7 linked regions of the Callithrix jacchus genome follow. The protein of the gene in region 4 interacts with the protein of the main gene of each other region in a biochemical or structural test. Links are inferred from orthologs where the notes say so. Each region holds a gene or a part of one and is shown on either strand. Other genes may lie near its edges.

Region 1 (3,600 bases), on a different chromosome or scaffold from region 4:
GGTGAAAATACATCTCTACTAAAAATACAAAAATTAGCTGGGCGTGGTGGCATGTGTCTGTAATTGCAGCTGCTCGGGAGGCCGAGTCAGCAGAATCGCTTGAACCAGGGAGGTTGCAGTGAGCTGAAATTGCGCCACTGCACTCCAACCTGGTGACAGAGCAAGACTCTGTCTCAAAACAAAAACAAAAACAAACTACAACAAAATATACCCTTGTCCAAAATTAAGAGTAAATCAATACTATAGTATATGTCTATATAGTATCGTGGTATAACTCTGCCATGATAGTGGATCTGGATAGTACAGATTATGTAGACACTTTGTTTTTGAGACACGGTCTCACTCTGTCACCCAGGTTGGGTGCAGTGGTGCAATATCAGCTCATTGCAGGCTCGACCTCCGGGTCTCAAGCAATCCTCCCACCTCAGCCTCCGAAGTAGCTGGGACTATAGGCATATGCCACCAGCCTGGCTAATTTTTGTATTTTTTGTAGCGATGGGGTTTCGCCTTGTTGCCCAGGCTGGTCACAAACTCCTGAGCTCAAGCGAACCACCCGTCTTGGCATCCCATGGTGCTAGGATCACAGGTGTGAGCCATTGCCTCCAGCTTCACACAGACATTTTGAAATAAAACCATATTTTTCCTTTTGTTTTGTTTATTATGGATTACAAATTTATTTGGCAATTAAAAGTAACAGACCAGGCTGGGCGAGGTGGCTCATGCCTATAATCCCAGCACCAGGCCAAGGCAGGTGGATCACCTGATGTCAGGAGTTCGAGACCAGCCTGGCTAATATGGTGAAACCCTGTTTCTACTAAAAATACAAAAAATTAGCTGGGTGTGATGGCGTGCTCCTGTAATACCAGCTACTCAGGAGGCTGAGGCAGGAGAATTGCTTGAACCTGGGAGGTAGAGGTTGCAGTGAGCCGAGATCACACCATTGCACTCCAGCTTGGGCAACAAGAGGGAACCTTTGTCTCAAAAAAAAAGGAAAAAGTAACAGATCACCAGACTATATCATCTTGTGAGTAGTTGAACTGATGGATAATACTGTTATACTCTGACTAAAATATAATAAAATTGCTTAAATTTTGAGTGAGATGTTACTTCAGTGTAATGAAGTAGAGTTTTTATTTGCTGTTTGGGCATGGTAGATTTTTCCCAATGTGGTCTTATATAACTGTACTTAGTGCTTTTTTGCCTTTTATGATTAAAAAAATTATTTCTAAAATGATTAATTAATGGCCTATCTTAACAGAAATATATACATTATCAAAAAAATTCCATGATCATATCTTGTTTTCTAGGGAATGGTTGTATCTCTTGTCACATGAAATGTTGAATCCATACTATGGCCTCTTCCAATATTCAAGAGATGATATCTATACATTGCAGATCAATCCTGACTCTGCTGTTAATCCGGTATGATTTGTTGTTATGATGATGTGAATTAAGTTATGACCTATAATGCTTTTCATCTTTACATGTTAACATAGTTTATTATTTAGAAATTTTTGTCCTTGTCCTAGTTGTACCCTTTGACTCAGCAACTCCTCTTCTACAAAGTTTTCCCAAGCAGATGATTATGGATGTATGCTACAGTTTGGAAACAGGGATGTTTACTGTTTATAGTAGCCCCCAACTGAAAACAACACACTTGTCTTCAAGAGGGGAGACTGATTAAATTATGACATGAAGCAGAATAATGCAAGTGATTAAAGTCGTAGATTCTGGAATTAGAAAGACATGTCATCGTCTCATCACTTACTAGCTTTGTGACCTGTCAGGGCAAGTTCATGGACGTAAGCTTCAATTTTGTCATTGCTAATACATACGTTTGTACCTGGGAGAGGGGTTATGAGAATTAGATGGGACGCTGTACATTAAGCATTTAGCACAGTGCTGTATGTTATTAACTCCACAACTCTATCGACTACATTATTAAGCACTCAACAGAAGTTAGCAGTTATTACTAATGTACTGTTTTTTTGTATTATTTTGTCTTTCCATACAAGGGCATACTAAACAGTCACTAAAATAATAATGTGAGATAATAGTTAATGATATGGAAAGATGGTGTTTATGATGTAAGTGAAAAGAAGGTTATGAAATAGTTTAATGCAACTTTGGTAAATTGTGTGTGTGTGTGTGTGTGTGTGTGTGTTTAAAAAAGAAAAACTTTTTAAGATAAAAAGGTTTAAAGAGGAGCTTAAAAGATTACTTAGTAAATGGGTAAAATAATTTAAAAATACAAACATCTAACAAAACAATCTGTGACGACTGACCAATATATGCAAACAGGGTAGAAATGTTAGATTTCTTTCAGAAAATTATTTAGGGAGGATTTTGAGGTGAAGGTTGCTTGGAGGGCCCACTGCTGCCACTGCAGTGATGATAGCCCACACTCATTGAGTGCTTACCTATGCCAGGTCCAGTTGCATGGGTTTCAAACATCACCTTTTACTCCTCATAGAGATGCTTTTTTAGATGGATACTGTTATTCTATTTCCAGATGTGGACAGTTAGTCCTACAGGAGTTAATTTGTCCATATGCCAGTGACTAGTAGAATCATGATTCTAATCCAAGTCTGACACCAAATCTGTGCTCTTAAATCTATGGTGTTTTGATATTTAATTTCTTGTTAGGCCAAGGAAGTAGGGAGGTTAAGGATTGAAAGATTTTTTTCATAGCAAGGGCTCAGCAGGAGGTGAGAGAAGGAAGAGAAAAGGATCTCCAAGTAGCCGAATGAAGCGCTGGGGGACCATAGTTTGGACTTAATTTCTAAAAGATAAAATTGACAGAATGACTGTGAGAAGGGCCTATTACCCTGTGTAATATGTTGTTCTCTGGTGATCTAGAGACTCCTGAGCATGCCCTAGAGAAATACTCCCTCCTGGCTATATTGAAGAGTACAGATTTGATGCTTACTCTCAAAATATTAATGTTGAAATATTTCATTTTTATTAAAATTTTCCTGAGTAATTTCTGACTCAAGTATATATGCTCTTTTCAATTTCAGGAACATTTATCCTATTTCCACTTTGTTGGACGAATAATGGGGATGGCTGTGTTTCATGGACATTATATTGATGGTGGTTTCACATTGCCTTTTTATAAGCAGTTGCTTGGGAAGTCAATTACTTTGGATGACATGGAGTTAGTAGATCCAGATCTTCATAACAGTTTAGTGTGGATACTGTATGTATTGGGTCTTCTATCGCTTCATTATAGTTAAACTCTGAGCTTTTTTTAAAAAAAAATGTTTCAAAACTGATGTACTTAAAAAAATGACCATACACAGAAAATATTGAGTGGTTATCTGAGTGATGGGATCACATAAGATTTCCCCCTTTCTGTAGCTTCTTTATGCATTTCAAATTCCTTAAACTTAGCAAGTTTACTACGTTCTACGTTAAAAAGGAAAAAAAACTAGTATATTCTATTTTTAAAAGTACTTTATATAATGATTTCCTCAATGTGAGGCAAATCCTGTTCCAAACCTGCATGTGTTAGAATAGCAAATTCTTGCTGCCATTGCTTTTAATGAAGTGGTGATTGTTGGAACCATACTTTTGGAGTAGGGGCTAATTGTTGAATTT
Region 2 (4,297 bases), on a different chromosome or scaffold from region 4:
CCAACCTAATACATCCTTCTTTAAACAATGTTGCTTTATTTTGTCGGCTTTGAGAATTTATATGAGTAGAATCATACGTCATTGTCTTGCTTCCTTCATTAGGCCTTATTTTGAGACTCATTATGTCTGTGGCTAGTTGCCATTTATTCTTTTTTATTGCTGTATGAAAACACTGCAATATACAATTTTGTCTTTTCTACTGCTGATGGACATTTGTGTTGCGTTCAGTTTTTTGCCACACGATTTTGTATTCTTATACACATCTCTTGGTGTACATACATTAAGTAGGAGTTGCTTGCCGGGCATGGTGGCTCAGGTCTGTAATCTCAGCATTTTGGGAGGCCAAGAGGGGCAGATCACTTGAGGTCAGATCAGCCTGATCAAAATGGTGAAAATACTCTCTACTTAAAAATACAAAAATGAGTCAGCCATGATGGCAGGTGCCTGTAGTCCCAGATACTCTTGAGGCTGAGACAGGAGAATCACTTGACGGAGGTTGCAGTGAGCCGAGATTATGCCACTGCACTCCAGCGTGAGAGACAGAGCAAGACTCCATCTCTAAATAAATAAATAAATAAATAAAATAAATAGGAGTTTCTGTTAGGTAGAGAAACTACTCCTAGCAATAGTTACAGAATGCACAAATCTTCAATGTTAATAATGCCAAACTTTTCTTTTTCAAATTTCAAACAGATCGTATCCATTTACATGCCTCCGGGTACTGTATAAGCGAGTGTACCTCCACATCTTCATACACACTGTCACATCCTTTTGTTTTCGAATTTGAGTGTGTGTTGTTTTTCACTGTGACTTTATTTTTCATATTTTCTGATTATGAAAGAGGCTGACACCTTTCATACGTTTCTTGGCCATCTGGATTTCCCTTTTGGTGAAGTGCCTGTTTAAGTATCTCGCATATAATTTATTTCAAAGTGTCCTTTCAAATGGTCTCAATGACTTTCATCAATTCCTTACACGGCAGTCAGCTGGGAGATGCAGTAATCAAGGCAAGTTGAAGTCAAGCTCAAAACATTGGCTGCCTCAGCTGTAGCAGAGAACAACCGGGTTTTCCCGGGTAACAAGTACTTCTACTTTAGCCACAGGAGAGAGACAAGAAGACCAGGCAGAGAGGCCTGGCTGCCTTCCTCCTCGCTGCTGGTCGAGGGCAGGGGACAGCGCCCTGGCGACCTCCTCAGGGATCTTAGATAAACTGTCGCGTACCCAAACGCAGCATCCTGCGTAACCGCCAATTTCAAACTTCCAAGACCTGCCCTGCGGGCTTTGCCCTTCCCCCTTTCCCATTGGTCGCGAGTCAAAGGAAAAAACAAGTGATTGGCTCTCCCCTTCACTTCCTCCGTCCCTTTAAGGACATGGGCGGGGCCTGGCTGAAACGCCCACGTCTATCATAGGAATGGGCATGGTGATTGGTCCAGACACGGCGGAGACCCGCCCGCGCCGTTCGTCGAGTTCAAACGCGGCGGCGGGAGGAGCGGGGCGGAGTACACTGCACACCAGCGGGGTCCGCTGAGCGTGAGTATGATCCTCTAACCCTAATTCTACCTCACCCGCTCTGCAAGGCCAGGGGAGGGCTGCCTCCACTCACACCAGTCCTGGCTTTCCCTTCCGTCGCTGGAAAGGCGGCGATTCCACCTTCAGGGCTGTTGGAGGCCTAGAGGGTCTTCCCGGGCTGTCTGTGCGCGCGCCCACCCTCCTTGGGAGCCGAGGGGTCCGCCGGGTGGTGCTGGGGCGGGAGTCATGTTCCTTCCCTAAAGCGGGCGGAGTCCTGTATCTCTTCAGCTCTGCCTCCTGTCAGCGCTAACTATTATTCTGCCCAGTGCAGTCAGCCAGTTCCTTATTACCTGCGTGATCTTAGCAATTTACTTAACCTCTCTGTTTCATTGTCTTCATACCCCATGCCCACCCCATCACCTCCTTGATGCCCCCACCTCTTTCGCTCTGCTCCAGTCCCTCTGGCCTCCCTATTTCTATTGGAGAGTCCAGGTCCTGTCTCAGGGCTTTTGCCTTGGCTGTTCTTTGGCCAGGGATATCTTTCTTTCCCCAGATATCCTCACGGCTTGCTGGTCACCCACATCCGGTCTTCAAGTCTTAGGTCAAATGGTGGCTTCTCAGTGAAGTCTTCTTTGATCACACTAAAAATGGCACCATCTCACCCCCATGTCCTTATTTTGCTTGGTTTTGTTTTTACCCCATAGCACTTAACACCTTCCAACAAGCTGTAGAGTTTGCTTATTTCAGTCATTCATTTAATAATTATTTATTCACACCTACTATGTGCCAGAGTATGTGTGCCCCCATGTAAAAATCTCTGCCCTTGTGGACCTTCCATTCTAAGGAGGGAGATATTAAACACATTTATAAGAAAGAAAGTATGTCAGATAAGTGTATCACCTCCTGTTATGGTGAGTGAAAATCTAGTGTTTAATCTCTATGATTAGAGTGAGCTTCCTAAAACTGGAGTTGTAGCTGATTTTCACTTCCTTGCCCCTGATATCTTGAGGGAGATCAGGGTCTCTCAAGCTCTTCCTGCCCAAACCATAGGACACACTTGGCTTTTCCGACATCCTTTCAGCACCAGTGGGGAGATGCTGAAGTTCAAATATGGAGCGAGGAATCCTTTGGATGCTGGTGCTGCTGAACCCATTGCCAGCCGGGCCTCCAGGCTGAATCTGTTCTTCCAGGTAACAGCCTCACCTGCCAACTTTGCTCACCTGTGTGTTTCCTTGGAACCTCCTTGTCACTCACCTTTGCTTTTATTTATTTAGAGTCTTACTCTGTCGCTCAGGCTGGAGTACAGTGGTGCAATCTCGATTCACTGCAACCTCCGCCTCCCAGGTTCAAGCAATTCTCCTGCCTCAGCCTCCAGGGCAGCTGGGACTACAGGCACCTGCCACCACGCCTGGCTAAGTTTTGTATTTTTTTTTTTTTTTTTTAAGTGGAGATGGAGTTTCACCATGTTGATCAGGCTGGGCTCAAACTCCTGGCCTCAAGTGATCCACCTGCCTTGGTCTCCCAAAGTGCTGGGATTACAAGTGTGAGCCACCACGCCCTGTCTGCTTTTATTATAGGACCAAGGATAATATTTTAGGAGAAATTCTCTTTTGTTTGAAACAAGGGCTTCTGTTGACTATAGGCCTGTACCACCATGCCCGGCCAAGATTTTAATTTTCTGTAGGGATGGGGTCTTGTTATGTTGCTCAGGCAGGTATCAAACACCTGGCATCAAGTGAGCCTCCTGCCTTGGCCTCCTAAAGCACTGGGGTCATAGGCGTGAGTCACTGCACCTGGCCCTCTATTTGGAGTTTTGTTTTATTTTTTTTGAGACAGAGTCACACTCTGTGGCCCAGGCTGGAGTGCAGTGGCCCGATCTAGGCTCCCTGCAACCTCTGCCTCCTGGTTTCAAGCGATTCTCCTGCCTCAGCCTCCCGAGTAGCTGGGATTACTGGTGCGTGCCACCACGCTCAGCTTAATTTTGTATTTTTAGTAGAGATGGGATTTCACCACTTTTGTCAGGCTGGTCTCAAACTCCTGACCTTGTGATCCACCTGACTCTGCCTCCCAAGTGCTAGAATTACAGGCATGACCCACAGCGCCCGGCCCTATTTGGAGTTTTATATATGTACTGATTGTATTGGAAAAAGGACATTGCAGAAGTTGATAGCTGAACTTGCCTCAGAAGGGAGATCTTTTCATATTTCTTACACTTTATACTTCTGTACTAAAGTTTGTTCGTTGTTTGATTGATTGATTGATTGACAGGGTCTCACTTTGTGGTCCAGGCTGGGGTGCAGTGGCACAATCATGGCTCACTGCAGCCTTGACCTCCTGGGCTCAAGGGATCCCGCCACTTCAGCCTCCCGAGTAGCTGTGACCACAGGTGCGGGCCGCCACACCTGGCTAATTTTTGTATTTTTGTAGAGATAAGGTTTCATCATGTTACCCAGGCAGGTCTCTAACTCCTGGGCTCAAGTGATCCACCTGTCACAGCCTCCCAAAATGTTGGGTTTACAGGCATGAGCTGCTGCACCAGGCCAAGTTTGTCCTTTTATTAAAGAAAGAAAAATAAATGAAGAAAGATGCTTTTTTTTTTTTTTTGCGATGGAGTCTCGCACTGTCACACAAGTTGGAGTACAGTGGTGTGATCTTGGCTCATTGCAACCTCTGCCTCCCAGGTTCAAGCAATTCTCCTGCCTCAAACTCCTGAGTAGCTGGGACTACAAGCACGTGCCACCACGCCAAGCTAATTTTTTGTATTTTTAGTAGAGACAGGGTTTCACCG
Region 3 (3,600 bases), on a different chromosome or scaffold from region 4:
GTAGCAATGGGTACAGATTCATTACAACCACATGGCTTGGTTCAATCTGCTACCCAACCAGCCTCAATTTGTGAGTTACAAATTTATTAGTACTTGATTCATAGAGCAAACAAAACATAGACCATAGTATTATCATCTTTCAATAGGTTCAAGGAGTAGTTCCAGTTCCAGAGAGGCCACTTGAACCTCGAGCCATGGATGATCCTGCATCTGTCTTCATCAGTGACGGTGGTGCAGCTGCTGCTCAGTGTCACATGGCTACAGCTGTCCAGCCAGGCCTGCCTGAGAAAGTGCGGGACGGTGCACGGGCCCCACTGCTGCACCTGCGTGCCGAGTCTGTCTCTGCGCACCCCTGTGGCTTTCCTGCACCACTGCCCCCGACCAGGACGATGGAGAATAAGATGACTGCTGCCATACACTCCAGCAGTACAGATGCCACCAGCAGTTCAAATTATCATTCCTTTGTCACTGCTTCATCCGCCTCTGTGGATGATGTGTTGCCTTTACCAGTTCCTGTCCCACAACCTAAGCATGCTTCTCAGAAAACAGTTTACTCCTCCTTTGCTAGGCCTGATGTCGCCGCTGAACCCTTTGGTCCAGAAAACTGTTTGCATTTCAATATGACTCCAAGCTGCCAGTACCGTCCCCAGAGTGTACCTCCACATCACAATAAATTGGAGCAGCACCAAGTATATGGTGCCAGGTCAGAGCCACCAGCCTCCATGGGTCTTCGTTATAACACATACGTGGCCCCAGGAAGAAACGCATCTGGACACCACTCCAAGCCATGCAGCCGGATCGAGTACGTGTCTTCTTTGAGCTCCTCTGTTAGGAATGCCTGTTATCCTGAAGACATTCCGCCGTACCCTACCATCCGGAGAGTGCAGTCTCTCCATGCCCCGCCATCTTCCATGATTCGCTCTGTTCCCATTTCACGGACAGAAGTTCCCCCAGATGATGAGCCAGCCTACTGCCCAAGACCCCTGTACCAATATAAGCCATATCAGTCCTCCCAGGCCCGCTCAGATTATCATGTAACTCAGCTTCAGCCTTACTTTGAGAATGGCCGGGTCCACTACAGATATAGCCCATATTCTAGTTCTTCTAGTTCCTATTACAGTCCAGATGGGGCTCTGTGTGATGTGGATGCCTATGGCACAGTCCAGTTGAGACCCCTTCACCGCCTTCCCAGTCGAGATTTTGCTTTCTACAATCCTAGACTGCAGGGAAAGAACTTGTACAGTTACGCTGGTTTGCCTCCACGTCCCCGGGCCAATGCAACTGGCTATTTCTCTCCCAACGACCATAATGTAGTCAACATTCCTCCGGCTGCTGATGTAAAGCACACCTACACCTCATGGGATCTTGAGGACATGGAAAAATATCGCATGCAGTCCATCCGGAGAGAGAGCCGTGCTCGGCAGAAAGTGAAAGGGCCTGTCATGTCTCAATACGATAATATGACCCCAGCTGTGCAGGATGACTTGGGTGGGATCTACGTCATTCATCTGCGGAGTAAATCAGATCCTGGGAAAACTGGACTTCTCTCAGTGGCAGAAGGAAAGGAGGGCCGCCACACAGCCAAGGCCATCAGTCCCGAGGGAGAGGACCGCTTCTATAGGAGGCATCCTGAGGCAGAGTTGGATAGAGCTCACCACCACGGAGGCCATGGTAGCACGCAGCCGGAGAAGCCATCCCTTCCTCAGAAGCAGAGCAGCCTGAGGAGCAGGAAGCTTCCCGACATGGGCTGCAGTCTCCCTGAGCACAGGGCACACCAGGAAGCAAGCCATAGGCAGTTCTGTGAGTCAAAAAATGGGCCCCCGTATCCCCAGGGAGCTGGCCAGTTAGATTACGTTTCCAAAGGGATTCCAGACACTTCTGAGCCAGTTGGCTACCATAACTCTGGAATAAAATATGCTGCATCTGGGCAAGAATCTTTAAGACTGAACCACAAAGAGGTGAGGCTCTCCAAAGAGATGGAACGGCCTTGGGCTAGGCAGCCTTCTGCCCCAGAGAAACACTCCAGAGACTGCTACAAGGAGGAAGAACACCTCACTCAGTCAATGGTCCCACCCCCTAAACCAGAGAGGAGTCATAGCCTCAAACTCCATCATACCCAGAACGTGGAGAGGGACCCCAGTATGCTGTACCAATACCAACCACACGTCAAGCGTCAGAGCAGTGTGACTGTAGTGTCCCAGTATGATAACCTGGAGGATTACCACTCCCTGCCTCAGCACCAGCGAGGAGTCTTTGGAGGGGGCAGCATGGGGGGGACGTATGTGCCTCCTGGCTTTCCTCATCCACAGAGCAGGACCTATGCTACGGCTTTGGGTCAAGGGGCCTTCCTGCCCACAGAGTTGTCCTTGCAGCATCCTGAAACACAGATCCATGCAGAATGAGCCCTGGGAGCAATAGAGTTGAAGCAGCCTCTGCTGGACAGTGGACTGTTCTATTTTTTTCAATAAGCAAAAAGATTAAAAAAACAAAAAATACTATAAAACTCCTGACAACATTTAAAAAAGATAATAAAAGTAAACAAATCACCATCTTTTTCCCCTTCCCTGCTTCATTACCACCTCTTCCATCTATAGACTTGTCATTTTTGTCTTTTAAAAAGATCTGAAGGATGGTAAAGCCCTGTGCTGAAACCTAGTAGAGAAATTTGTCACAGGCTATACTTGCCATCTAGGGCTAGCTTGAAAGAGCTTGAGGACTGCCTTTCACTGAATCTGAATTCAGCGTTGACCTTTCTTCTTAGTATTTGCTGAGAAATTGAGAGCAGTTCACATGGATTTCCTGGTAGGCTTCTGCATTCCCTGTTGTGTTCCTGCTTCTCCTTCCGTAGCTGCACAACTTGCCCAGATCGACACACTGTTCTCACTTCATTCTCCCCATCTGAGAAGGATCTTGTGTTCAGTTAGAGTAATGGAAAAATCCCTGATCCTTCAAGATCAGTCAGTCAGACAGTTAGCAATATTATAATTAAAAATAAGAAATTAAGACTTTAAACATTTGGTAGTGTCATCATAAAACATCAGACCAGTTAGACTCAGGCTAAACCATACTCTTTATATTTTTTTCATCCTTGTTCCTCACAGTTCAATGAACAGGCTCATTATGACAGAAGGAATTTTTAAAAGTTCGAATTTAAGGAAGCTTCTTAGGTGAAACAAAGTTAAGTTCTCATTGCCAGTGAACTTTGTTAGCACCAGTAAACTATATCCATGCTTTTATTGCATTGCCCGCCTTCAGGTTTTCTTCTTCTTCCACTCCTCAATAATATTTGGTGAATTGTAATTCTAGTAAAACATGTTATACCATTGATTTTCCTAAATTACCAACTTTCTTTAATTAAAAAAACAAAAAAAACCCCAGCATGGTTTGACTGGATAGACACACATAGTTTATTATGGACATAAATTTACATGTTTGTTTCTGTTTTTAAACCAGAGTACAGGGTCCCTGGGAATTATTTAAGTAGCTACGAGTTATCTATTATTAGACTGCAAGTTCCCGCAATAACCACTTAGTACACAGCCCCATTTCACCAGTTGGAGTTCTGGGCAGTTATCATTGCTGTCCTAAGGCATTACTGTT
Region 4 (4,010 bases):
GGTGGGTTTATAGCCTGAGAACTCCCCTATCTGTCACCAGGACAGGATAGTCCTTGGAACGCCAAGCATGGGGGTGCAGTATGGACAGATTTACTCACCACGAAGGGAAATGCGTGGAGCCATCAGGCGTGGATCCATTCTGACCACCCAGACCTGGAGGCAAAAACACATCCAGGGCTGCAGCAGGCTGGGGTGGGGATCTGAGCAGGCATCAGCCCAGGTCAGGTTAGAGGCCACTGGTATTGTTTGGTGGAGTCTGGTGAGGGTCCTAAGGGACTAATGGTATTGTCAGGTGAGAATTCCGAGCAATAGATACAATGCGATCGGTGGACTGGTGGGGATTCTGGCGTAAAATGCTATGGTGGCAGGAGTCAGGGTACAACGTTAGGTTCTCCCATCGAAGTACCCTGCTTAGCTTCCGAGGTCAAATACATTCAGGGTAGTAAGGCCGTGAACCAATGCTAAAATCTCATGAGCCTCTTGCAGGATAGTGGGGAACCCAATGGTACAGTTCAGAGAGGGTAGCGGCGGGGGCAGCCAGCCCACGGAGGTTCGTAGGGAGCCTCACCTGGACGGTGATACAATCCGGTCACCGTATTCCCGTAGAACCCCCACGCCAGCTGGATGCCCAGGAGACTTAACACCAACCACAGCAGCAAAAACTTGAAGAGGGTCACGCGCATGTCCTGTGCCTCCCACTCCCGCAAGAACTCGCTGCCCAGAGCGCCCAGCGCGCCCAGCACCGTGGCCGGCAGAGCCTGCAAGGCCTGCCCAGACCAGGGTTCCGCCATGACTGGCCCACGCCCCACCTGGGGTACTGTCACCGTAGTCCCCAAGACGCAGGCGTGCGGTCTTCCAGGGCCCGGCCCGTCAGTGCGCACGCGCAAATTCAGGCAGGGAGGGGACTACTTCGCATGCGTGAAGAGTTGGCAGTTTGAGGCGGAGTATTAAAACGGCGCAGGCGCACCTAGACCCACCCAGCTTGCTTAAGGGTTGAGCGACTCCGGGAGTATAAAATAGCAACCAGGTCTTTTATAGCCCCAGAGTTCCCGTGATGCCCCACGCGGCTGCAATGATTGGTTAAGCGTTTTGCTTTTAGGGCGTGGATGCGCTCCTGAGCAATCGTGGATGAGCTGTGAGTGCGCGCGCGTGCGCGGGGCCGCGAACGGGGCCGGCTCGAGCCCGCTGGGCACTCGGGGACGCGCACGTCGTTCCCCGCCCTCCCGCCGCCGCCCGCCCTCGCTCTCTCGCGCTCCCCTCCCGCTGCCCGCGGTCCTCCGTCGGTTCCCTCGTTAGTCTACGGTCTCGTCTTCAGCTGCTCGTCTTCGTCTCCGAGCTTGCGACTCGCGGACCGGCGTCCCCGGCGCAAAAAGGCTGGACTCGGATTCGTTGCCTGAGGTGAGCAGAAGGGTTCCCTCCAGGCGCCGCGGCGCCCCAGGCCGGCCTGCCCAGCACTCTTCCGGCCCTCAGGCCGCCGCCCCGCCGCGGCCGCGCCCCACCGGCTGCTTCTGGCCCAGCCACCCCTGGCCCCTGACCCTTGACCTGACTCCCAGCCCCGGCCCCGCGCCCCAAAGCGGCGACCCCGCCCGCGCAGTCCCCGGAAGCGCGCCCCGTAGTCTCCAGTGCCCCTTCCCCCGCCCGGCCTGGCCTGGTGGAGCCCAAGCCGCCCGCCCGCCCTCGGTCCCCGGCGCTTCCTCTCCCGGCAGTGCCGGGCAGGGCGGGGGCTCTAGGCCGGGCCCCGCGACCGCGCAGTGTGGCCGGTCGCTGAAAGCGCGCGTGGCTGTTGGAGTTGAAATGGGAAAGAAACTCTTTACAACTCCATTTGCCTTTTGCATTTAACGAAAAAACGTGAATCACCGTTTTATATTGATTGAGATTCAGTTATACTTTGGGTAGGTTTTCTTTTAATGCAGACTTCTTGAAGACTGTGTAAGTAAAAGATTGTATTGAAAGCTTAGGGATCTTGTCTATCACCCGAACTCACCCGAACTCGCCTGAAAGCTTTGGGGTATGTGTTGAGTGGAAAAGCGGTTATTTTCCAGTTGGAAAAAAAAAAAACCTGTAAATGATTGAAGCGATGTTGCATGAAAATAGATGCAGTATGCTTAGTCTAAGTCATTGTATTGATTAGGAATCACCTAAACATTTGTATCTTACTGATTGGTCTACAGTTACAGGTCGTCTTCATTGAATGGCACTATTTACATCCAAATTGATTTGTTCACAAACCATGTTTAATAGTTTACGGTGAAAAATTAGAATCCTTTTTACCTCAGAGTTGGTTATACTTGTGTTTTTTAATAGTTCTAATTTTAAATTTACTTCTGTTGACTTGTTTGGTTCTTTTTGTCTCGAAGAAAGTCTTTTAAAATAAACGTTTCTTGCAGGTGTGTAAGCCGATTATGTTTGATTTTGCCTTTCTGAAGGAGAAAAAATTGAAAAACCAAAAAACTTCCCTAATTTCAAATGTTGTATGTAGTGGGAATTTTTCAGCCACTTGGTGTCATCCACCCAGATGTGTAATGTGTACCACGTGGATGATTGTCACCTCAGATGTGGCTAGACTGTCGGAGATACTGTTTTGAGCAATTGGCACAAGTGACATTGGACTGAAAAAAGGCTAGTTTTTAATGGTAAAGAATGACTTCTTGAAGGATCTCTGGATAACTTATCTTAATTGGTTCCATCTACTTTTGTGGAGCACTACTGGCTCTTGGAGACATTAAATATATAAGATGCACCCTGGTTTGAGTTAAAGTCTAGCGCTAGACTTATTTTATTCATTTATTTAAAGACGGGGTTTCACCATGTTGGTCAGGCTGGTCTTGAACTCCCGACCTCAGGTAATCTGCCCTCCTTGGCCTCCAAAGTGCTTGGATTACAGGCGTGAGCCACCACGCCCGGCCCTAGCGCTAGACTTATGCTCTCTGATCTCATAAAAATCTGTGTTGGAGGGAAGAAGAGAGTAGGAATACTTTGTAGTTCTTGAATTTTAGATCGAAGAGGAATCTTTCAGGACTGGGTGTCCAGCAAATGGTGTCAGACCCCATTCACAGATGAGCAAAGTGAGTCCCAGAGACTTAAGTAAATTTCCCAAGATTATGTACCTAGTCAGGAGCAGACCACAACTGTCTTCTCATTTAAGGTATTATTTTCCATTTACTCCCAATCAGTTGGCCTGCAGAGTCAGCTGAAAATCAGGACTTCCAGCTTATTCCAGTGTTTCTTCTTTTTTTTTTTTGAGACGGAGTTTTGCTCTTGTTAACCAAGGCTGGAGTGCAATGGTGCGATCTCGGCTCACCGCAACCTCCGCCTCCTGGGTTCAGGCAATTCTCCTGCCTCAGCCTCCTGAGTAGCTGGGATTACAGGCACGCGCCACCGTGCCCAGCTAATTTTTTGTATTTTTAGAGATGGGGTTTCACCATGTTGACCAGGATGGTCTCAATCTCTTGACCTCATGATCCACCCGCCTCGGCCTCCCAAAGTGCTGGGATTACAGGCTTCAGCCACTGCACCCGGCCCAGCGTTTCTTCTTTTATACCTTGTTGATGGTGAATAGTTCTGAAAATTCAGAACTGTAAGAAATTCTATTCTGTTCAAATTCAGAACTGTAAGTAAAAGACTGTATTGAAAGCTTAGGGGTCTGATGTACGGCCATACCACCCTGAACCCGCTGGAGCCCGTCTGAAAGCTTTGGAGTCTGTAGTGAATGGAATAGGGGTATTTTCCAGTTGGGGAAAAACAAAACTATAATGAATAGAATCTGAAAAATTCATTTGCCAAACAAATTTCAGTTCATTAGCTTTCTTTCACAGCGTTCTCCCCTTGTTGAGTGGATGGTCCTGCCTTCAACTGCGGGAGCTAGATGAATGTACAAAGGTCCCTGGCTTGCCTAATCATGGCTTTATTAAGTGTTTGGATTTTTTTTTTTTTTTTGAGACAGAGTTTCACTGTTGTTACCCAGACTGGAGTGCAATGGCACGATCTGGGCTCACCGCAACCTCCGCCTC
Region 5 (4,353 bases), on a different chromosome or scaffold from region 4:
ACTGCATACAATCCATGATCCCCAGAGCTTTACAGAACATAATCTACTGAATTTCCACAGCAGCCCTGCGAGGGAGGGACGATTATTATTATTTTGAGACAGAGTCTCGCTCTGTCACCCAGGCTGGAGTGCAGTGGTGCGATTTCGGCTCACTGCAACCTTTGTCTCCTGGATTCAAGCGATTCTCCTGCGTCAGCCTCCTGAGTAGCTGGGATTGCAGGCGTGCGCCACCACGCCCGGCTAATTTTTGTATTTTTAGTAAAGACGGGGTTTCACCATGTTGATCAGGCTGGTCTCGAACTCCGGACCTCGTGATCCACCTGCCTTGGCCTCCCAAAGTGCTGGGATTACAGGCGTGAGCCACCGCGCCCGGCCTATTATCCCATTTTAAAGATAAAGAGACTGATGGCAGAATTGCAAAATGTAATAGGGAACATCCCTTTTTCATGCATTCCACAAATATTGGCTTGACGCCCGGGAAGTTCATCTTCCAGGATCCATACTTCCGGAGGAGTCCCAGAGGAAACACCTCTTCAGTTCAGAGGAGTCAAGGGTGACAGCGGTGCCCTCTCCCATCACTACTATTTCCCCTTCAGGCGCCCTAACTGACATTTGATTTGCAATCATTTGCACAATGCGAAGTGACAGGCTTGAGCTGCACATAGGACCAGGCCGTCTTCCCTCTCCTGGGGAATCAGATCACAGAACCAAAAACAAGTTGTATGGACGCGCGCGTTGCCTGCAGATTTTCTTCACCGCCAAGAGAAAGAGCACGCGCTCTCCAACCCCGCCTCTTCTTCCGGGAGGACGAATTGCGGGCCTCCGATTGGGGTGAGGCGGGCCACGCCTCCTCACAATGTCCAATCAGCTCCCTCGCTGGGTGCGCTCCCTCCTCAGCCCCGCCTCACCGCCCCACGTTACGTCGCTCCTAGTGGCCTCCTCCGTTATCCCGGGGGCTGCGGCTGGCGCGGCGGCAAACCCACCTCCACTTGCTTCCCATTGGTTGGTCAGGTCCCGCGCGAGCGGGATCGCGCCCTTCGCCCCCCACCCCCAAAACCGGGCCATGCCTCTCTCCTTTGGCTTTCTCCAGGAGCCAGCGCGAGGCGGCAGATCGGCTCCTTGAGGCGCGCGCAGGGACGCGCGCTGCTCTTGCAAGCCACTGCCTCCGCCCCGCGACAGCAGCCGCGCCGGCTGGCAGCCCCCCGCGCACGCGCACTCGCCCACCCTGCTCCCTCTGCTCGTTTGCAGGTTGCCTCGCGCTCGGTCTGGCTAAGGCGGCCGCCGCAGTAGCGGCATTTTTGGGGGACGCACGCGCACTGCACCGTCCGCCGCCGTTCCTGGCCCCAGGCAGTGGCGGTGGCAGTGGGATCCCTCGGGTGCGCACACGCTCTGACCTCTCCCCATTGCCTCGCGCTGGTTGTCCCTTCGGGGCGCGCGCTCAGGGGCCGTTATACCCCTGCAACGGTCCCCGGGCCGCGCACGCGCAGTAAGGAGGGGGCACGCGCGCGGGAGCGGCCGTCGCAGGAAGGAGGCGCCGCCGCCGCCATTGCGAGGGAGGGAGGGAGCGAGCGAGGCTGGTCCGCCCTCCCCCTGGTTCCCGCCCCTCCCCCCTTCCCCTCCCCGCCCCCCGCCCCGAGGGAGAGCCGCGGCGCGGCGGGAGGAGGAGGTGGAGGAGGTGGAGGAGGCGGAGGAGGGAGCCCGCGAGGGAGGGTCTGCCCGGCCCCCCGCCGCCGGAGCCGCCGCCGCCGCCGCCTCCGCCTCGGCCGCTGCTGGACTAGGAGCAGGGGAACATGGCGCCGGGGCCCCCGTCGCCGCTGCCGGGATCCTTGAGGCCGGGGCCACGCTGAGGGCGCCCAGCTGGTGAGTGCGCGAGCTCGCGGGCCCCGGGCGGCGAGGCCGGGCGCCGCCCCGCTGCGGGGTCCAGGGGGAGGCGGGGACGGCGGGGCCCGGAGCCCGCGAACAATGGAGGAGCTGGAGGGGGAGGGGAGGAGCGGCCCCCCAGTCCCCCGGGCCCCGCGGTCCCGGACTCTTCGCGCGTCGGCCCGGCCCGTGGGGCCCTCCTGCCCTTTGGACTTGCCCCTGCCCGCCCAGCCTTGCTGTCCCCGCCGCCGCCCCCACCCCCTACCCGTTGAGATCTCGGTGTCTGCCTCGCAGCCTCCCCGACTTCAGCCAACCGGCTCCCAATTCTGCGCCCCCCTTCCCTTTTCCGCCCCTCCGTGATGCCCTTCGCTCTTCGCGGGCTCTGCACTGGCACCCGCCTTCTCACTGACCATTCTGCATCCCTGAATTGTGGCTCCCACTTTCGAGATCCTTGACCCTTCTGCCTCTTCTCGATTCTCTTCTCAACACCCTTCAGATCTGTCCTCGGCCCCTTCTTTGACCTACCTGCTATGCTATTATTACTGTCTCAGAATCTGTTGCACCTTGGGAGCTGTCCCTTTAGGACCTGCGGTTCTAACCCCTTGGAGATCCATCGGAGACCACTGTTCGGCTAAGCACTGCTGCCCCAGGTCTTCCCCTTGGACTTAATGCCGTTCCCTCGTGGGTCCTACTGCTCGAATTTCTGTCTCTGCCCTTTCAGCGTGCTGCACCCCGGAATGCCCCTTGGCTGCCTCTCTGACCCCTCCGTGCCCCAGTTCATTCCCTGGATCCCCTCGGACTTGGCTGCACCGTGCTTGCCGCCTCCACTTCTCAGCTCTTGCTCCCGTTTGCCATTCAGACCCTTTCCTCTCTTCCAGACCTTTCCGCCTCTCAGCTCTGCCCCTTGCCGGACCTCAGGTCTTGCTGCGCTCCCCTCACCTGATTGCTTTCTGACTTTGCCTTCCCGGGGAGCAGCCTCCTCCCCCTTCTCTGACTCTGCAGGTCTCCCATTTCTGCCATTCACTTAACTGATCTCTCCGTCACTCAGTCTGCCTTCAGTTTCAGCCCCAGTGTTCTCTTGCAGGTTTCCTCTCCTCCCCACCTCCTTTTTGGCACTCCTCTGAGCTACTGCATTCATTTGCTACTCCTTTCTTTGGCCTGTCTCTCCTTCGGTTCTCTGTCTAAAAACTGCTTCCTGTCCCCTCTTTGCTCCAAGTCCTCTCTTCCCCGTTTTGGCCCTTAGACGTGCCCTTTAATCTCACTGTACCCTGTTAACTCGGGCTGCATCTCCCAGACCTGCCTACCCACCCACCCCCATCCTTTTTGCACCTGCACTTTCTCCTCTTTTTTTTTTTTTTTTTTAAATTCTGCTCCATCCTCTTTATTGTAGTGTTTGCCTCCCCAGCTCTGCCCCTTTCGGAGCTGTCCACTTGCCCGCACATTTTTAGACCCGTTTTTCACTTCTCTTGCCGTTCTATCTCGGAGTGGTCCTTTAACACCGGGATTCTTATCACCGTGTCCTCCCCTCCGTTCCCTCCCGAGTCTGAGTTTTCCCCCTTGGCATTCTCTTACCCCCACCATTTTGATTCAGCCCTCAACCTTCACTGTCTGCTTTCTTTGCCCACCCTCCACTGCCCTGTCTCTTCGTGGAGTTCTTACTCTAATTCTGACATTAAGATGTCTTCTTAATCATCCTTTCCTATGTATCCCGGCCCCCCCCCACCGCCCTTTTGGAGCTGCCTCAGCGCTGTGATAGATTCTCACTCCCTTTTGATGTCCCTTTCCCAATTCTGTTTCTCCTTGACTTGTTACCTTCCTCACCTTTTTTTTCTTTCCCCTGTATCCTGCCAGGCTTCTCTTCCCGTGTAGTTCCTATTAGACCTGCTTCTCGCAGCTCACCTGTGGCCCACCCATTCCCCATAGAGCTCTTCCCCTTTCAGGCTTGTCTTTCTCTGTTCTCCATCCCTCTGCTGCAGAGGCCAAGAGACTAGATTGGGCCTTAGGTTCTCCAGGCTCTGAGACTGCAGATTCTCTCTCTGCACCCTAACCCTGAGGGTTCTATCCCCAGGGATCCTGGGAGATCTGGGTAAATAGGTGGGGATTGGTTGATTGTTACTGCTCTCTGGAGTCTGGGAGTGTCTCCCCCATTTCTCCCACTTCTACCAAGGTTAGTAGTGTGGAGGGAGGTAGCACTCTTTCCGTTGCCCCATTTTCTTTCCTCTGCTGTTTGCTCTCCCCCTTCCGTTCTCTGGGCTTTGCAGCTTTGTGTCCTTTGGAAAAGGGAAATGCAGCTGCTCACAGATCTTTCTTCTCTTTCTCACTTTCCCTCTTTCCGTCTCTGAGCCATTGCATCCACCCTCTCTCCCCTTCCACCTCTAAGCCAGCACCCCTAGGAGTGTACTTTTTTATTTTTTCTTCCCAGCTAACAAGTCATTTTGTTTTTCCTCTGCTGGGTAAATGCCAGTGTGCCCGTTCTTAAATTCTCCAGATCCC
Region 6 (4,355 bases), on a different chromosome or scaffold from region 4:
GAGTTGGACAAACCTGGGCAGATTGAGAGAAGTAGATGACTTCGATTTTTATTTTATTTTTTTTGAGACGGAGTTTCGCTCTTGTTACCCAGGCTGGAGTGCAATGGCGCAATCTCGGCTCACTGCAGCCTCCGCCTCCTGGGTTCAGGCAATTCTCCTACCTCAGCCTCCTGAGTAGCTGGGATTACAGGCATGTGCCACCATGCCCATCTTTTAGCAGAGATGGGGTTTCACCATGTTGACCAGGATGGTCTCGATCTCTTGACCTCATGATCCACCTGCCTTGGCCTCCCAAAGTTCTGGGATTACAGGCTTGAGCCACCACGCCCAGCCTGATGACTTCAATTTTGAATCTGGTTGTTGAGAGTAGTGATGCTAGTTGGTGAAGATACACTGAGATTAAACATGTGAAGTGCTTAGCACAGGGCCTGACATAAAAAGTTGCCCATTATCTATGTAAACAACAATGCTAAGTACTGTTAGTAGCCACAAACATGAACCTTTCTCTGGAAGAGTTTACAATCCAGTCAGTAGTATGATAAATATTATAGCAGATATAGACTGGCACAAGAAAGAAGGGTGATAAATGGATCACTTCCTCCCCTCCATCCTCTGATTCTGTCTGTTCTCAACACAGCTTTGAAAGTAGCTTTTGAACTTTTTGGACAAAAGGCCTGGAAAGCTCAACACTAAGTCAAGTTTGAAGTATGGGATGGACAACTCTATGTAACATTCTATCAGGTCACTGTTAGAAGCTCTGGACCATAAGAGAGATGAATGTCAGATTTAGGAGACAGCCAGCCTGGCAGAGTCCCTGGTATATCTCAGGCCCTTGACGAGGCACTGGGGCCCTAGAGTGAGTAAGTCACTGACTGCCCTTGAGTAACTTACACTTGAAATCTTGCTAGCTGTGGTCAAGATGATTCAGTCCATATTGTGATGGCCAGCTGGTAGCCATATAACTGTCACACAGGGATAGATGTAGCTAGGAGAGTGGATGAAATTGCTCAGGGAGAAAGTCATGCTAGAAGAGCAAAGAATATACTTTTGGAGAACACCCATTCTTTCATGTTTGGTTTATGTCAGTGGGGAATTCTGGTTAAACATAGGGCTTGGCAGCAAATCAGACTAAGCTGGGTTTAAATTTTATATCAATTATGCCTTCTTGGGCAAGTCACTTCAACTCTCAAAGTCCAAATTTACTATTTATAAAATGGTGAGCCTAGCGGAATCTATCACATGGGACTGTGGGGACTTAGAAAAATACATGTACAGTGTTTTGCATAGTGCCTAGAAGACATCAGGGGCATGGTTAAGTGGTAACTGTTATTGCTGTTTAGGTACATGTTGGCAATAATTAGTTTGTTCTGTAGGAAATTAAACTCCAGAGCGAGTCTGGTTTACTCCAGTGCTTGCACTGGACCGAGCTCTGTTCTTGGCACATTGCTTTCAAAACATGGGAGCTGTCACTTTCATAATTTTTTCATGTGTTCCATGGGTATTGCACACATTAAAAACTGCATTCTTATGCAAAGCCTGGCACTACTTTTCTGCCAGGATAATGGTCTCATGCTATTTTTGGTCTGGGGTGTGACAGGGTCCAAGCTGTCCGGCTGTACAGCCAAGTGGGCGCACCGTGGGAGCAGAGAGGCCTGCCCTGCTCCAACCGCCAGGGGGCGGTGCTCCCTGCCGTGGCCGCGGAGAGCTGCACCTCCCACTCGCCACCCCGCGACGTGGGTCCGAATGGTTAGGTCCGTCGGGCAGGTAGCGCGCTTCCGCGGCTTCCCTCCACCCCTCTCCCTTCCCCCATTGGTAGGGGCTGCGGGTCCGGGCGGAAGTGGGGCAGGCGGGCGGGAGCGAGGCGTCATCGTTGTATATTCATGAGGCGCGCGCAGCCCGGCATGCTAATGAGGCGGGGCGCGGTGGCTGGCTAAAGAGTGGCTGGGCGGCGGCGGCGGGTGCTGAGCTGCCGGGCGGGAGCGGCGTAGGCGCGGGGTCACCGGCCAGCGTGAACCGGGACATGGAGCCACCCGGCGGGGGCCTGGGGCCCGGCCGCGGTACCCGGGACAAGAAGAAGGGCCGAAGCCCAGATGAGCTGCCTTCGGCGGGCGGCGACGGCGGCAAATCTAAGAAATTTGTGAGTGTCCCTCCCACACTACTCCTGACCGGCCCCGTAACCGCCCTCTGGACCCCTGCAGCCGGCCCCACGGGCGTCTGCCCGGCTCTGGGGAGCCGCCCCCGCGCCTCCCTTCCTCGTTTCGCTGGTCTGCGGCTCTGCAGCCCGACATCCTCCGCCTCCTGGACAGCGGGAAGCCCCGGAGTCTCACCCTGCTCCTGCCCCGGCCACCTCGGGGCTTCCCTCGTTCCCTAGCCCGCACGTCTGCCCTCCCGCCCCCATAGCCCCGGCCGGCTCTCAGCCCCATCTCTCCCCTCTCAGCCTCACTTCCTTTCTTCTTCCTCTAGTACCCGAACACGCCTCCTCTTTTTTGGTCCCCTCTTCTGGGTCCATTTTCTCTTCTTACCCTTACCCCTTTTTTTGGTATTCTCGTATTTCCTTCTCCTAAAGGTCACTTCCTTCTCCATGATTGATCCTTTTTACCTGCTAACTTTCGTCCCGCCCAGTCCCCCTGGGCCCTTAGCCCGGTGTCACCTGATAATCCTTCCCCTCAGGAATGTTACCTGACTTGAGCCCTACCCACCCCACCCTCCTCTGGACGTTTATCCTTGCCATTACGGGAACAGGTTCCTGCCCAGGTCTTAGAGCCACTGGGGCATGACGTTTATTTGCTTAACAGTATTCCTCTATCCAGAGAACCTGTCTCTTTGCCCTGTTGCTTGTCACTTTTCAGAGGGTTAGAACGCTAAGCCCTTCTTGACCTAGGATGATGATAAATCTCTCCTGTGGGAAGAAAGTTGGACTGCGAGTTCAAGAAGTTTGTAATTGAATTTTTTTTTTTTTGCATTTCCCGTGATAACCATCTCCTCAACTCCTTTCCTACCGCCTCTTGTTCCCCAAAGCGGCTACTGGTATCCCTTTGCGTTCCTCAAGTGCCAGTTACTTTCAATCCGAGTCTGAAGGAATATTGATATTCATGGAACCCTATCGTATTTCCTTACCTTTTGCCCACATCAACGCTTCTCTCCAGGGAGCCGTTTGGTTGCTTTTTGCTATAAAAGCTTTGGAAGATATGGGGCACTGTCCAGAAGAGGAAAAGAGTCTTGGATATTGATGATCATTATAATAGCTGGTTATAACTGTAGCTCTTTTGTCTCCTCTTCCAGGTATTTATGCCCTTAGCCTAGTGTATCTTTCTACTAAACAAATGGCTTGTAACTCTTACCTCTTTCTCTTAGTCCTACCTCCCAACATTTTGATCCAGCTCCACAAATTTGGGAAGAAAACTGATAAAGTGATAGAAACTGGAAGAAAATGTTGTTTCGTGACCTAGAGGGTTGAGATGTTAACCCTGGAGGGTTAGGTGTTTAATTCTAAACAGAATTAAAATCGTGACTCATCTCTTCCTGTTCCTAGTAAGACCAAGTGCTCCTGGACTGTCCCCAGTGACATCTGAGCTGTCAGTAACCACCTGTTTTTATATGATGAACACCTTTTTTCCCCCCTAGAAATAATAGGGTTAAGAGTATTGACACCCCTTCCTTCTTTGGTGTCTAACACAGCATTGACCCCCCGCCCCCGCACCTGTCGGTTAGCTTTCCTTCCAAAACTTAAGTTCTAGGGCTCATATTCCTTCTATTTCTCTATCTTTTTGTTTTGATTTTGTTTCCATGGGTACTGTTTGACCTTCCTCACCCGAATTCCAGCTATCGCTGCTGATTCGTGGTGACCTCTGTGACTTGTTTTCCAGTCTTGAGTAGACTTTTCTGTGTGTTTTATTTTTATCTAACAATTGTTTAGTTCACCAGTTGTGAAGTCTACTATGTGTGTGGTGCTGCAGGGTGAGAAACCTGAGGAAGCTAAGCCTCTTTTCACCTGTTTTGGAATGTCCATGGTGTCTTCTGTATGCTTAGTGGATTTGGCTCAGGGTTGTTGGTATTTGCTTTAGAGAGGGTGGAGCTGAACCAAGTTCTCTTTTCTTTCTTCGGTGTTAGTCTTAACCCTTAATCTGCTGAATTTTTAAAACTAGATAGCTCAGGTAATGAGGAAAATTGCATTAGTAGCTAGGAATTGGAAGGTTTCTAGGAAAGTAGTGCTGCTTAACCCTTGTATTGCCAAATGTAACCTGTCTCAAGGCATCAGAATATTCTGTCTTACTCGTTGCTCTTTTTATGAGAACTCTGTGGAAATGAAAGAGAAGGAGGAGCATTGCAATCCACTTCTCTTTATGTCTGTGTAT
Region 7 (3,600 bases), on a different chromosome or scaffold from region 4:
CGCGCGCACACGCACACATGCACACACGTATATATGTGTATATACACAATGAAATATTGTTCAGCTTTAAAAAGGGGGATACTGGCCAGGCGCGGTGGCTCATACCTGTAATCCCAGCAGTTTGGGAGACTGAGGCAGGTGGGTCACAAGTTCAGGAGATCGAGACCATCCTGGCCAATATGGTGAAACCCCGTATCTACTAAAATATATAAAAAATTAGCCAAGTGTGGTGGTGCACGCCTGTAGTCCCAGCTACTTGGGAGGCTGAGGCAGAGGAATTGCTTGAACCCAGGAGGCGGAGATTGCAGTGAGTCAAGATCACACCACTGCACTCCAGCCTGGCAACAGAGTGAGACTCCATCTCAAAAAAGAAGCGGGCGGGGGGATACTGCCACATTGACAGTATGGGTGAACCCAGAGGACATTATACAAAGTGAAATAAACCAGACACAGGAAGAGAAATGCTGTATGATCTCACTTATCTGTGGAATAAAAAAAAAAAAAACTGAATAAATAAAAACAGAGAGTAAAATACAGTTACCAGCAATAGAAGTAATGGGGAGAAGTAGGTCAAAAGGTACATATTTAGAGTTAGGTAGGATGAGTAAGTACAGAGATCTAATATATAGCACGGACTGTAGTTAATATTATATACTGAAAATATGCTAAGAGAATAGATTTTAGGTACACATAAAACCATACACATAAAAATGAGTAACTGTAGAGGGTGATGGATTGGTAAATTTGTTTGACTGTAATAATCATTTCAGTATGTGTATATATACCAAAATATCATGTACACCACAAATATATACATTAAAAAATAAATTTAAAAAACACATAGCCGTAATATTTACTTTTCTTCCATACTGTCTTAACTAATGGAATTGTTTTTCCACAAACTTTACCCTGTAAGTTTTATGGCTCTTTTTTTGTAAATCTATAAGATTATATATTATAATGCTAACAGTTCTTTTAATGCTGTTTTTCACTTGCTGATATATCACTTGATCTGTTTAGAAGATATGAAAATGTTTCATTTGTCCCTTTATTTGCTTTACTTTTCAAACTTATTTTTTAAATAGGATCGGAAACTCCATGGTACAGCTCAGCAACTGCTCCAGGACAGCAAGACAAAAATAGAAGTAATACGAATGCAGATTCTTCAGGCAGTCCAGACTAATGAATTGGCTTTTGATAATGGTGATGGAATAAATTGTCCTTCTCCTTATGAGCGTATGGTGCTAAATAATCTTATATAGGAACAGGGCAGTGGTTCACAGTTAAGGGGGAGGAAGCATTATTATTACTATTTTTTTTTTTTCATCTTGAGTTTTACACTATTTAGTTGGATATTTAGTTGGCTTTTAGATATTTGGCCCTTATGTTTCAAGAAGATATTGATCTAGAAAGTATCTCTTCATTTAAATAGATTATCAAATACTTCTAATCAGTCTTTATTTTTTTTTTAAATTCTGTTTCCTGTTTAAGATTATGGCTTTGTTTTCTTTTGTTTTGTTTAATTCCAGAAGAAATCTTTACAGCTAGTTGCTAAGAGTAGGAGTAGAAACTTTCAGTCTCCCGATGTTACAATATTTGGATATCTTTCAGTTCTAAAATCTTTTTTTCAGCTTTGTAATTTAGATGTGTAATGACAAAAATGAAAGGCTCTGAATTTTAACATGTATCAACTATTATTATTTTAGTGTTTATTGATGTAGGAACTAACTTACTGTAATGTTATAATAATTTATTTCTTTTCACAATTTTAATCACTACGAATTGGAAAGCCAATAAATGGTGCAATTAAATTTTTTTTTCCCTTCTAGCAAAACCTGTGATAAGTCCTCTTGAACTTCGGATGGAAGAATTAAGGCATCATTTTAGGATAGAGTTTGCAGTAGCAGAAGGTGCAAAGAATGTAATGAAATTACTTGGCTCAGGAAAAGTAACAGACAGAAAAGCACTTTCAGAAGTAATTTTAAATAAAAATTTTTATTTGGTTTAATAAATGCATTATTCAAAGTATGTGATTATTTAAGTGACAACAATTGTCTTTTCTCTGTGCAAGGCTCAAGCAAGATTTAATGAATCAAGTCAGAAGTTGGACCTTTTAAAGTATTCATTAGAGCAAAGATTAAATGAACTCCCCAAGAATCATCCCAAAAGCAGTGTTATTATTGAAGAACTTTCACTTGTTGCATCACCAACACTAAGTCCACGTCAAAGTATGATATCTACACAAAATCAATATAGTACACTATCCAAACCAGCAGCATTAACAGGTATGTGCTGTATATCCTTTGTTTTTTGTGTGTATTTTTGTCTATATTTGGTTCTGGTTTAGTAATTGAAAGACAAACCTGTGCATAATTTTTTTAAAATGATGATAAGATACACATAGAATAAAATTTATTGTTTTAACCATTTTGATTTTATTAAATTTGGAAGTATTTAGTATATTCACAATGTTGTGTGACCATCACCACTACCTAGTTTCAAAGCATTTTCATCACCCCAAAAGGAAACGCATGACTGTTAAGCAGTCACTCCCCTTCCCCCTTCCTCCCAGCTGCTAGCAGCTACTAATTGTCTGTCTCTACAGATATGCTTATTCTAGATATTTCATATGATAGGAATTATATGATTTGTGACCTTTTCTGCCTGGCTTCTTTTACTTAGTGTTTTCAATCAGTAAAAGCATATTGTTTTCAAGCTTCATTCATGTTACAGTGTGTATCAGTACTTCAGTCACTTTGAATGTCTGAATAGTATTCCGCTTGTGGGAATATTCCAAAATTCAAAAACCTTTTGTGCACCCAACATGATCCTCAAAGGAAATTCTCATTTTGAAGTATTTTGGATTTGGGATTTCAGATTTCCAGATTGGGGATGCTTAACTGGTATGTATAATATAAACATTCCAAAATCTAAGCTACTTCTGGGCCCAGGCATTTCAGGTAAGGAATACTCAACCTTTACCATATTTGGTTGATGTGTTTGTTGAGCATATGGGTTCTTTCTACCTTTTTGACTATTGTAAGTAGTGCTGCTGTGAACATTTATGTGCAGGTTTTTGCTTGAACATCTGTTTTTAATTTGGGGGTATATTCTTAGGAGTGTAATTGCTAGGTCATAAGGCAGTTATGTCTAAGATTTTGAGGAACTGTCAAACTGTTCTTCACAGCATTTATATCATTTTATACTTCTAACAGTAATGTATAAAGTGGGTTTCAGTATCTCCAAATCCTCACCGACACTTACTATTTTTCTTTCTTTCATTCTTTTTTGATCATGTTCTGTTGGTTCCATTATTGGAAGTATTGTAGTATGTCTAACTGTTTCTGTAGAACTGTCTATATTTTCCCTTCATTTATGTAAATTTTTGTTTCATATATTTGTGGGCTCTGTTGCTAGGTTCATGTATGTTTACAATTTTTACATCTTCTATTTCTTTTTTTTTTTGGGGGGGGGGAGGAAGGCAGGAAGGAAGGGAAGAAGGACGGTAGGGAGGAAGGAGGGGATGAAGGAAGGAAGGAAGGGAGGAAGCGGGGAGGGAGGGAGGGAAGGGAAGAAAGGAAATCAAGCAATGAAAGAGAC

What was found.
Region 1: of the proteins of RHOA (region 4) and SMURF2, one has a biochemical effect on the other in vitro, tested with the Homo sapiens proteins (3 studies listed by BioGRID, with this or other methods). The link is inferred for Callithrix jacchus from reciprocal best matches to the Homo sapiens genes RHOA and SMURF2.
Region 2: the proteins of RHOA (region 4) and CIT form a complex in vitro, tested with the Homo sapiens proteins (2 studies listed by BioGRID, with this or other methods). The link is inferred for Callithrix jacchus from reciprocal best matches to the Homo sapiens genes RHOA and CIT.
Region 3: of the proteins of RHOA (region 4) and ARHGAP32, one has a biochemical effect on the other in vitro, tested with the Homo sapiens proteins (3 studies listed by BioGRID). The link is inferred for Callithrix jacchus from reciprocal best matches to the Homo sapiens genes RHOA and ARHGAP32.
Region 5: the proteins of RHOA (region 4) and ARHGAP35 form a complex in vitro, tested with the Homo sapiens proteins (3 studies listed by BioGRID). The link is inferred for Callithrix jacchus from reciprocal best matches to the Homo sapiens genes RHOA and ARHGAP35.
Region 6: the proteins of RHOA (region 4) and protein diaphanous homolog 1 form a complex in vitro, tested with the Homo sapiens proteins (2 studies listed by BioGRID and IntAct, with this or other methods). The link is inferred for Callithrix jacchus from reciprocal best matches to the Homo sapiens genes RHOA and DIAPH1.
Region 7: the proteins of RHOA (region 4) and PKN2 form a complex in vitro, tested with the Homo sapiens proteins (2 studies listed by BioGRID, with this or other methods). The link is inferred for Callithrix jacchus from reciprocal best matches to the Homo sapiens genes RHOA and PKN2.

The regions. Positions count from the first base shown.
Region 1 is NC_133506.1:89,826,421-89,830,020, reverse strand, and holds part of SMURF2 (E3 ubiquitin-protein ligase SMURF2), read left to right. Parts: intron 1-1,307; coding exon 1,308-1,422; intron 1,423-3,020; coding exon 3,021-3,199; intron 3,200-3,600. UniProt on the Homo sapiens protein: E3 ubiquitin-protein ligase which accepts ubiquitin from an E2 ubiquitin-conjugating enzyme in the form of a thioester and then directly transfers the ubiquitin to targeted substrates.
Region 2 is NC_133510.1:122,984,725-122,989,021, reverse strand, and holds the start of CIT (citron Rho-interacting kinase), read left to right. Parts: upstream 1-1,470; 5' UTR 1,471-1,530; intron 1,531-2,559; exon of another isoform or gene 2,560-2,590; 5' UTR 2,591-2,603; coding exon 2,604-2,699; intron 2,700-4,297. UniProt on the Homo sapiens protein: Plays a role in cytokinesis. Required for KIF14 localization to the central spindle and midbody. Putative RHO/RAC effector that binds to the GTP-bound forms of RHO and RAC1. It probably binds p21 with a tighter specificity in vivo.
Region 3 is NC_133511.1:28,684,602-28,688,201, reverse strand, and holds part of ARHGAP32 (rho GTPase-activating protein 32), read left to right. Parts: intron 1-146; coding exon 147-2,402; 3' UTR 2,403-3,600. UniProt on the Homo sapiens protein: GTPase-activating protein (GAP) promoting GTP hydrolysis on RHOA, CDC42 and RAC1 small GTPases. May be involved in the differentiation of neuronal cells during the formation of neurite extensions.
Region 4 is NC_133516.1:32,003,057-32,007,066, reverse strand, and holds the start of RHOA (transforming protein RhoA), read left to right. Parts: upstream 1-1,210; 5' UTR 1,211-1,398; intron 1,399-4,010. Other genes in the region: TCTA (T-cell leukemia translocation-altered gene protein), read right to left, coding at 99-153, 569-791. UniProt on the Homo sapiens protein: Small GTPase which cycles between an active GTP-bound and an inactive GDP-bound state.
Region 5 is NC_133523.1:40,832,096-40,836,448, forward strand, and holds the start of ARHGAP35 (rho GTPase-activating protein 35), read left to right. Parts: upstream 1-1,545; 5' UTR 1,546-1,860; intron 1,861-2,132; exon of another isoform or gene 2,133-4,353.
Region 6 is NC_133503.1:40,050,071-40,054,425, reverse strand, and holds the start of protein diaphanous homolog 1, read left to right. Parts: upstream 1-1,554; 5' UTR 1,555-1,569; coding exon 1,570-1,764; intron 1,765-1,960; exon of another isoform or gene 1,961-2,020; coding exon of another isoform or gene 2,021-2,137; intron 2,138-4,355. UniProt on the Homo sapiens protein: Actin nucleation and elongation factor required for the assembly of F-actin structures, such as actin cables and stress fibers. Binds to the barbed end of the actin filament and slows down actin polymerization and depolymerization.
Region 7 is NC_133508.1:125,999,095-126,002,694, forward strand, and holds part of PKN2 (serine/threonine-protein kinase N2), read left to right. Parts: intron 1-1,085; coding exon 1,086-1,236; intron 1,237-1,829; coding exon 1,830-1,975; intron 1,976-2,071; coding exon 2,072-2,285; intron 2,286-3,600. UniProt on the Homo sapiens protein: PKC-related serine/threonine-protein kinase and Rho/Rac effector protein that participates in specific signal transduction responses in the cell.